2 linked regions of the Drosophila melanogaster genome follow. The protein of the gene in region 1 interacts with the protein of each later gene in a pairwise test. Each region holds a gene or a part of one and is shown in the gene's direction. Other genes may lie near its edges.

The links.
Region 2: the proteins of Cdc37 (region 1) and Su(dx) interact in binary tests that used the Drosophila melanogaster proteins (3 or more experiments, as listed by UniProt).

What each region holds. Positions count from the first base shown.
Region 1 is NT_037436.4:1,793,428-1,797,351, forward strand, and holds Cdc37 (cell division cycle 37), read left to right. Parts: upstream 1-1,964; 5' UTR 1,965-2,272; coding exon 2,273-2,305; intron 2,306-2,365; coding exon 2,366-2,569; intron 2,570-2,750; coding exon 2,751-3,410; intron 3,411-3,426; exon of another isoform or gene 3,427-3,474; coding exon 3,475-3,747; 3' UTR 3,748-3,880; downstream 3,881-3,924. UniProt on the Drosophila melanogaster protein: Co-chaperone that binds to numerous kinases and promotes their interaction with the Hsp90 complex, resulting in stabilization and promotion of their activity. Required for cytokinesis and chromosome segregation in mitosis and male meiosis.
Region 2 is NT_033779.5:2,035,502-2,039,425, forward strand, and holds the start of Su(dx) (suppressor of deltex), read left to right. Parts: upstream 1-2,212; 5' UTR 2,213-2,723; intron 2,724-3,026; exon of another isoform or gene 3,027-3,140; intron 3,141-3,924. Other genes in the region: CG42296 (uncharacterized protein), read right to left, coding at 1-63, 381-435; lectin-22C, read right to left, coding at 955-1,746.

The sequences.
Region 1 (3,924 bases):
TATTTTCTGTGCCTTAGCTCGAGCTATTTTCAACCTTTGGCCCTCCTCCAATCCCTCTCTCCCTTTTGTTTCCCTGCAACGGAAGAGGAGAGAAGGGAAATGTTGGCTCGGCTTTTGTGGGTTTCGTTTTCTAAGTTATTTTTAGAGTTGTTTGGATGGGTTGAAGTTGCAGGATTTTCTTTTTTTTCTGTATAAACAATATGTTTTCACACAATAAACTAAATCAACGTAAACGACACGTAAAATGCTACGAGTTGTGATGACTTCATCACCTGTACTAAAAGTTGTAATAAGGTTATAGTTAGGCGGGAAATTATGAGGAATATATTTGTAGGTCAGGTTTGGAAAAACGCACATGTATGCTAAACAAATTTGTAAAGGTATTAACCTTAACAATAAAAGAATAGTAGGTTTCTAAAAGTATCTAAATATTGCATCAACAATTTTTTGTTGTTAAAGTATAAATATTTTCTATGAATTCTTATAAGATATCATTTATTTTAATTTCCAAACTTAGTTGATAGCCCATAAAATCACATTTCTAATAGTTTCCAATTTTTAGTGCTAAAAAAAAAAAAAAAACAACTCAGATAAGAAAAGCAGAGAAATATCTGAAATTCTCAGCTACACTACACAGAAGGTAAAATAGTTAAGATTGGCCAAGAATGATTAATAGAGAAAAGCCAAGGAGTGAATTTTTGTCAATAGAGTAACATGAAATACAATTAGCACTAACGATAAGGAAATCCGTGGAATGTCCGGATTTTAATACTTAATACTTCAAAATCGCCCCTTTAGAAGGGGTCAGCAGAGCAAGCAATGACATCATTTAGGGGAGAGGGTGGGTCAGCATGCAGAGAAACAAACAAACAACACTCTTTGCCACAGGAAATTGAAATAAATCAGAGGGAGATGGCAACAGCCCAGGGCTTGGCAGCCATACAATGTTGGAGCTCACATACAAACACACAGGCAGGCCAATTTAACTGTTTATCGCGGTGGCAAACAAAAACAACATCAGAAACGGCAATTGCGAGAGATCGCACCTCAAAAAGAGAGCGAATAGAAAGAGACGGAGAGAGCGAAACATTAATTGAAGTGTCTATCAGAAAATAGCAGAGGATGACGTAATGCGTACGCTTTGGAATTATGAGCAATCAATGAAGAGGCACAAAAAATCAACTGGTACGCAAGACTACTACGAACACGGAATCGCCTGGCAAGCAAACAAAAATATCCTATGCAAACACAGGCCTTCAAGAAAGTCAAGGACACTTGCCCACCCAAAACTTTGGCATATGTAAGGCAAGCACTTTGCTTTTTTTTTATTCGTACTTAAATATCTTGGAAACACAAACAAGCAAAGAGAGGGAGAGTGTGCTCTCCCGCTTTCTCTCATCTGAAGTTGCCGCACCACCACCACCACCCGATGACGTACACACACACAGCGTTCTCTACTCCTGCGTAACCGCACACACACATGCACAACAGGAGCACCAGATACTTTTTCTTAAGTTGCAATTGGAGTCAAGAATTTTGAAAGAAATTCAAAATTTCTATTACTAATCAAGCAGTGACATTGCACAGCATAGCTTTTCAGTTATGGCCAAGACTTTTCTCTCACTTTAGCCCCGTTAATTGGATTTTTGTGTTGCCTTCGAGGGTGTGGCGTTGACCCGAAAAATTTTCACTTTGCACGCACACCGAATTTCAATTGCATTTTGAACCCAACTAACAGTGAGCTACGGACGAAAACTATGTAGAAACTTACACTTTGATGGCAATCTATTTGTTCACAGTTACTTTGTTAATTTAACTATTGATTTGCAGTAGTTATTCGTAATTTTCACGGAGCGCCTCTATTTCACGGGACCGCAGTTTTTTTCAATATGTCGGCCGATTGGCGCAGAACATTGACATCAATATCGCGATTTCTATCGATGTCAATCGATTATAAACATAGTTCTCTTTCTGGTCGCTTTGGCGCCTTAGTCATCTCATTATTTTTCTAGTAGATGTAGATGAGTAGTAGTAGATGATGTAAATAAATTAAAAACGACAGGGTATTTCAATTCAATCTGGTGCACTCATGCATGACTACTATTTCCTAGCGCGGCCCCAGAGTAAGCGGGGCTTATTATGGTATTATTCCGCAATAGCCCTGCGGTCACACTAATTTCCAGAGCAATCCAAAAAAAGGAAGCAGCCGAAAAAGAACAAAAACCTGCAGCATTTACATTCAAATATAAATCCGAAGCAAAGAAACAGCAAAATGGTGGACTACAGCAAGTGGAAGAACATCGAGGTGAGCCCACTGCTGGGTGCCAACCCAAAAAGTCCTCCTAATCGGCACACTACCTTTTAGATTTCGGATGATGAGGACGACACTCACCCAAACATAGACACGCCTTCTCTGTTCCGCTGGCGGCACCAGGCGCGCGTGGAGCGCATGGCGGAGATGGACCACGAGAAGGACGAGCTTAAGAAAAAGCGCCAGAGCTACCAGGCGCGCCTCATGGACGTCAAGGAGCGGATCTCAAAGAAGGATGGCGACGAGGAGGCCCTGAAGGTGGGTCATTGCACCGAATGCACTGCGCACTTGTTGCTTAGGCTAATGCCTGGTCTGGGAGTTCCCTATGTTCTCAATCCATCTAATTTATTCTTATTGTCAAGCTTATGATTGACTATCATCCTAAGTGGCCATCCATCTTTCATCGCAATGCTTAATCCCTAATTTGTATCGCCTACAGAAAGAGCTCGAAAAGATCGAGGCCGAGGGCAAAGAGCTGGACCGCATCGAGAGCGAGATGATTAAGAAGGAAAAGAAAACACCCTGGAACGTGGACACCATCAGCAAGCCCGGCTTTGAGAAGACCGTAATCAACAAGAAGGCCGGCCGCAAGCCGGATGAGAATCTGTCCGAGGAAGAGCGAGAGCAGCGCATGAAGCAATTCGTCAAGGAGAACGAGAAGCTCTGCCAGCAGTATGGCATGCTGCGCAAGTACGACGATTCGAAGCGGTTTCTGCAGGAGCATCTTCACTTGGTGGGCGAGGAGACGGCCAACTACCTAGTCATTTGGTCCATCAACCTGGAAATGGAGGAGAAGCACGAGCTGATGGCCCACGTGGCGCATCAGTGCATTTGCATGCAGTACATTCTAGAGTTGGCCAAACAGCTGGACGTGGATCCTCGCGCCTGTGTCAGCTCCTTCTTCTCAAAGATCCAGCACTGTCATCCCGAGTACCGCGCGCAGTTCGACAGCGAGATCGAAGGTTTCAAAGGACGTATCCAGAAGCGTGCGCAGGAGAAGATCCAGGAGGCGATAGCCCAGGCCGAAGAGGAGGAGCGCAAGGAGCGCCTCGGACCTGGTGGTCTGGACCCAGCCGATGTCTTTGAATCCCTGCCCGATGTACGTTCTAGTGATTCACTGTATGGGAATTACTTGACTAACTTTTCATGTATTTGCTCCGCAGGAACTAAAGGCCTGTTTCGAGTCCCGCGACGTAGAGCTGCTGCAGAAGACCATTGCGGCCATGCCCGTGGACGTCGCCAAGCTGCACATGAAGCGTTGTGTGGACTCTGGTCTCTGGGTGCCCAATGCCGCTGACTTGGAGGGTGACAAGAAGGAGGAAGATGACTCGGATGACGTCGCCGGTGGCGAGGAGAAGACCGACGATGCCAAATCAGAGAGTGCAGCCAAGGAGGAGCCCATCTACACTGGCGTCAGCACCGAGGACGTTGACTGATCGCCGCCACGTTTCCATCTACACCATAGCTCTAATCTTAATGTATTTGTCCACAAGCATATTTCATCCATAGCCAGATCCTGCGTCAGTTGAGTTATTGTATATAATTTGAATAAATTCTCAGTCACACGTCAAACATTCTGTGAACACTTCTGCCAGTTGTTATACGCTTCGACT
Region 2 (3,924 bases), on another chromosome or scaffold:
GGCACTTGTAGAAGGCGTCGCAGCGGGTTTTGTGGGGGCGTGTCTTTTCGGGGCACGGCTTGCCTGCGTTAAGCCAGTGCGGAAATGGGAAAAGGAGTAATGTTCACATTAACATGGGAAAAGCACTTCGACTTTAGCGGAGATTTCCGAATAATAAGTTTTGGTTTTCCTACATGGTTTCATTTTGTACATATTTTTAAAGCAATGGAAGGTGCTATTCACTTTCTTGTAATAATTGTAACTATTCATTTCAAGGCATTTTTTATTTTTTAGGATACTTCAGTGAATTACGTTTATGAATTCATGAACACTTTCCTTTGAAAGTAGGAAAACCAAAACTGATTTAAATCTGGCACAATACACTTGCTGGTGGAGTTTACCTTCGGAAAAGTAAAACAAGCCCGCGACCAACGCGTAAACCAGCAGCTGCCTCATCGCGTATCCTTTTCGCGTATCCTCTTCGCGTAATCCTTCCCGACCGTAGTGCGAAGTCCGTAGCCGTAAGTTCCGATCTGCTCCGTTCGAAGCCCGCGATACGAATGACTGCGGATGCGGAGCGGTCGGCACATTAAATTTTGATAATTTTCACTTTGAGCCGCGTTCTCTGAAACTCTTGACAATGTGTGAAAAAGTCCGAAAGCGAACAAACAACATGGTATACGACGAATTTTCTTGGACTCTCCGCTCTCAGTGCTCGTATTTAAAACGAGTGCTAATAATTGTTTAAACAAATAGTTTTTGTGCTACTGGAAAGATCGGAGAATCAAGGAAATTTCACTTTTTGTGCGCAGTTTGTTTGTCTAAAAGTGCAATATAACGTGAAACTGGTAAATTTAGTAACCATAAAGTGAGTAATAGAGATAAGCTAATGAAGGCTTGAGGGATTGAATAAAAAATCACAGGTGTTACGGCATCAGCAAAGGTTTTATTATTCTCATGTGGTTTCTATTTAAATCATACATTTAAATCTTCCTCCTCGGTCTGGCAAATGAACCGGAAAGTATAGTGGCATGGGTAATCGTACATTTCCCCGTTGTATAGGAACACGCAGTTGAGGGTGTCCAACTGAGAGGGTCTCCCCGAGGCCCATTTCAAAAAGGTAGTCTGCTTGCCCGTGGGCATGGACAAGAATTTTCCCTCGTGGTCCAAGTCATTGATTCCCAGCCAGTAATGCGTGTCCTCCTTGAGATTCGCCTTGATGGCGGCTAGATCTGCCTCGTCCTTAATGTCGGCCAGGTGCCCTCCCATATTGCGACAAGTTTTTGAAGCAGTGGACCAGTTCTTCTCGGATACTTTCTCTATGTAATAGTACTTTGAGCCGATTTGCTCGAATCCGAGGTATTTTATTTTGGTTTTTACTTCAAGGACTGTTTTCTCCAGGGCCGACAGTATGCCTTCCATGCAATTCAGTCGTTCAGTAAAGTTCTGTTCGTTAACATTCAGTTTTCTGCCTTGGGCATCCAGTGCGACTTCAATGCTTAGTTGCTTATTCTGCAGAGCAGTCAGTTGGCCTTCCATCGTGTACTGTCTCACCAGGACCTCGTTAGCCTTGCTTGAATTATTGGAATTCGCCAGATTTTGGGAAATGGTCAGGTGATTTAACACGGGCGTAAGTACACCCAGACAGAATCCTCCACATTGACTAGGAGGGTCCTTTAAAGGACAAATCACATCGGATTCTGCCCAAGCTCCATACAAATTTAAAGCAAGAAGACCACATAGCAAAGCACTTGCGGATTTTAGCATTGTAAGCACTTTTTACTGCCAAACACTATGTTATTCGATGAACTGAATCCGCGCTTTTATATTTATTCAATAGCACCACAAAATTAAATAACATTTAAAGAAATTCAATGAGCAACGCAACTGAGTAATGAATATTCAGGGGGCTTCTAATTTATATGGAGTAATAAGCTTAGATTCCAATAAAATCAGAGGGGCCAGAAGTACTAGCTGGTGCATAACTTTTTGGCTAATTATTTACCTTTGTTTTGTTGTGACTACGGGCAATACGTTCTTATTTTTATTCCTAATTCCTATTCGCGGTCATTTTCAAATCTGGTTGGCTACTCCATTTTGAGCTTGTACGGCAACTCTGGTTGAACATGTAAGTTGGCAATATAGCGAGTACGCCAACCCAGTCTAGCGTGCATAACAAGCCTCGCCAATTGAATTCAACCTATCGATTCGCGCACTGAGTGGCCACATCAGTTGTATCGAAAAACATCGTCCAAAGTTGCAGCTCTAGAAATTGCTGCTTGCAAGCGAAGCAAAATAACAAATAAACAATTAGTGCAGCGATATCAACTGCTCGCGATTACGTGGACCAAAGCGAGGGCGGCAGCGCCAACTAGTGCAATAATCCAGCCATCAATTTTGGGGCCCGGGAAACCCAGTTAAGAATCCCGCACACACACTCGCACATGCAGCCGCACACAGGAGACAACAACCACACACACAGGCGCAAGTTGTAGGAGCACCAGAGGCAGAAGAAGAAGCAGCAGAAGGTAAGACACAGGTAGAAAGGAAAGGAAAACGGAGGAGGAGAAACCCCCAGAAATTGCTAAAAACAAAAAGGAACGCCTCTTGCATTGGAATTCGCCAGCGGTAGAGCGGCGGCAGCGAGTGCGAGCGGGACGGAAGTCGCGACCTTTGCCTCAATTACAAGCGCACACACACAAACACACACACGCCCACCCACAGAAGGAGTGGGAGTGGGAGAGGTAGTTACCTTCTTTCTGGCGTGCGTTACATGACCACGAATAAATATATATCTACACATATATATGTGTGTACTGTAGCATAGTGGCGCTGTGTGGGTGACTAAGCCCTGCGGTCGATAATTCAAGGAAGTTCAAGTTCCCCTCCCTCCACCACCCCTCCCCATCCATCGAGCGAGAAGTGCATTCTAGGCTTATTGACAGCTGTTGCTGATTACTTCGCTTGGCTCGCGCTCCGGCTGCCCCACCAGATAGCTTCCCTTTGTTCATCGGCCCACTGATAAGCGCTCGAATGATAGGCGAAATGAGCCGGAAAGTGCGTGCTAATTGATCGGAGAACTGTGTCCCATTCAGATCCATGCAAAGCCCTTCCAAATCGATTTCAATCCGGTCACAGAATCTGATGAGTAGACACTAATGGTAAACAACAAGCTGCACTTGCTCACGTGTTCTCGGTTAATTAATGTAGTGAAAACGCTAGCAAAAGAGAAATCGCGAACGGTACACAGCGAGAAAATCATGGTAGTTATCAGCATGCCGATAAGCAAAGCGAAGAAGTCATTAAAGCATTGAGATTTCAGTTCTGACGATATATAACAAAATAACTTATTTGTGGGCTTGTGTATCGCCATATCGGCCATGTTGCTTCCTGCACACAATCAATATGCAATAGCCATTCAACAATTGAAACCGAATTCACTTGCCGTTTTCTTTTTCGCGTTGAGCCGATGACTCACATGGCAACATTATTATACAATCTATTGTGTAGCGGGGTGTTTGCTATCAAAGTTATGGATGACCAGCAATCGGTGCTGAGTGTGTACGAAAAAGTACAGGGAAACACACACGCACACAGCCGTGGCAGTCGCAAATTATGGAGAAAATTAATAGGCGATAATACGGTGCTTCCCAGTAGTTTAAAGTCCACGAAATCAAGTGCACTTATCAGTGCATTTATATATTTATTTGGGGGAATTTCTATAGTAATACAAGTTTCTTTCAATAATTTAGAACTCTAGCCTCACTTAGTCAAAGAATATATTTTGGGATCAGAAACATTACTCAGTTTTTTAATAAACTGTTTACCCAGTTTGGTCATGATTAATTTCGCTTGAAATAGCATAATTTTTATCTTTCATATATGACCGAGTTGCACTGTACATACATTAGCGCCGATTTTACAGCTCACAATTTGTTCGAGCAG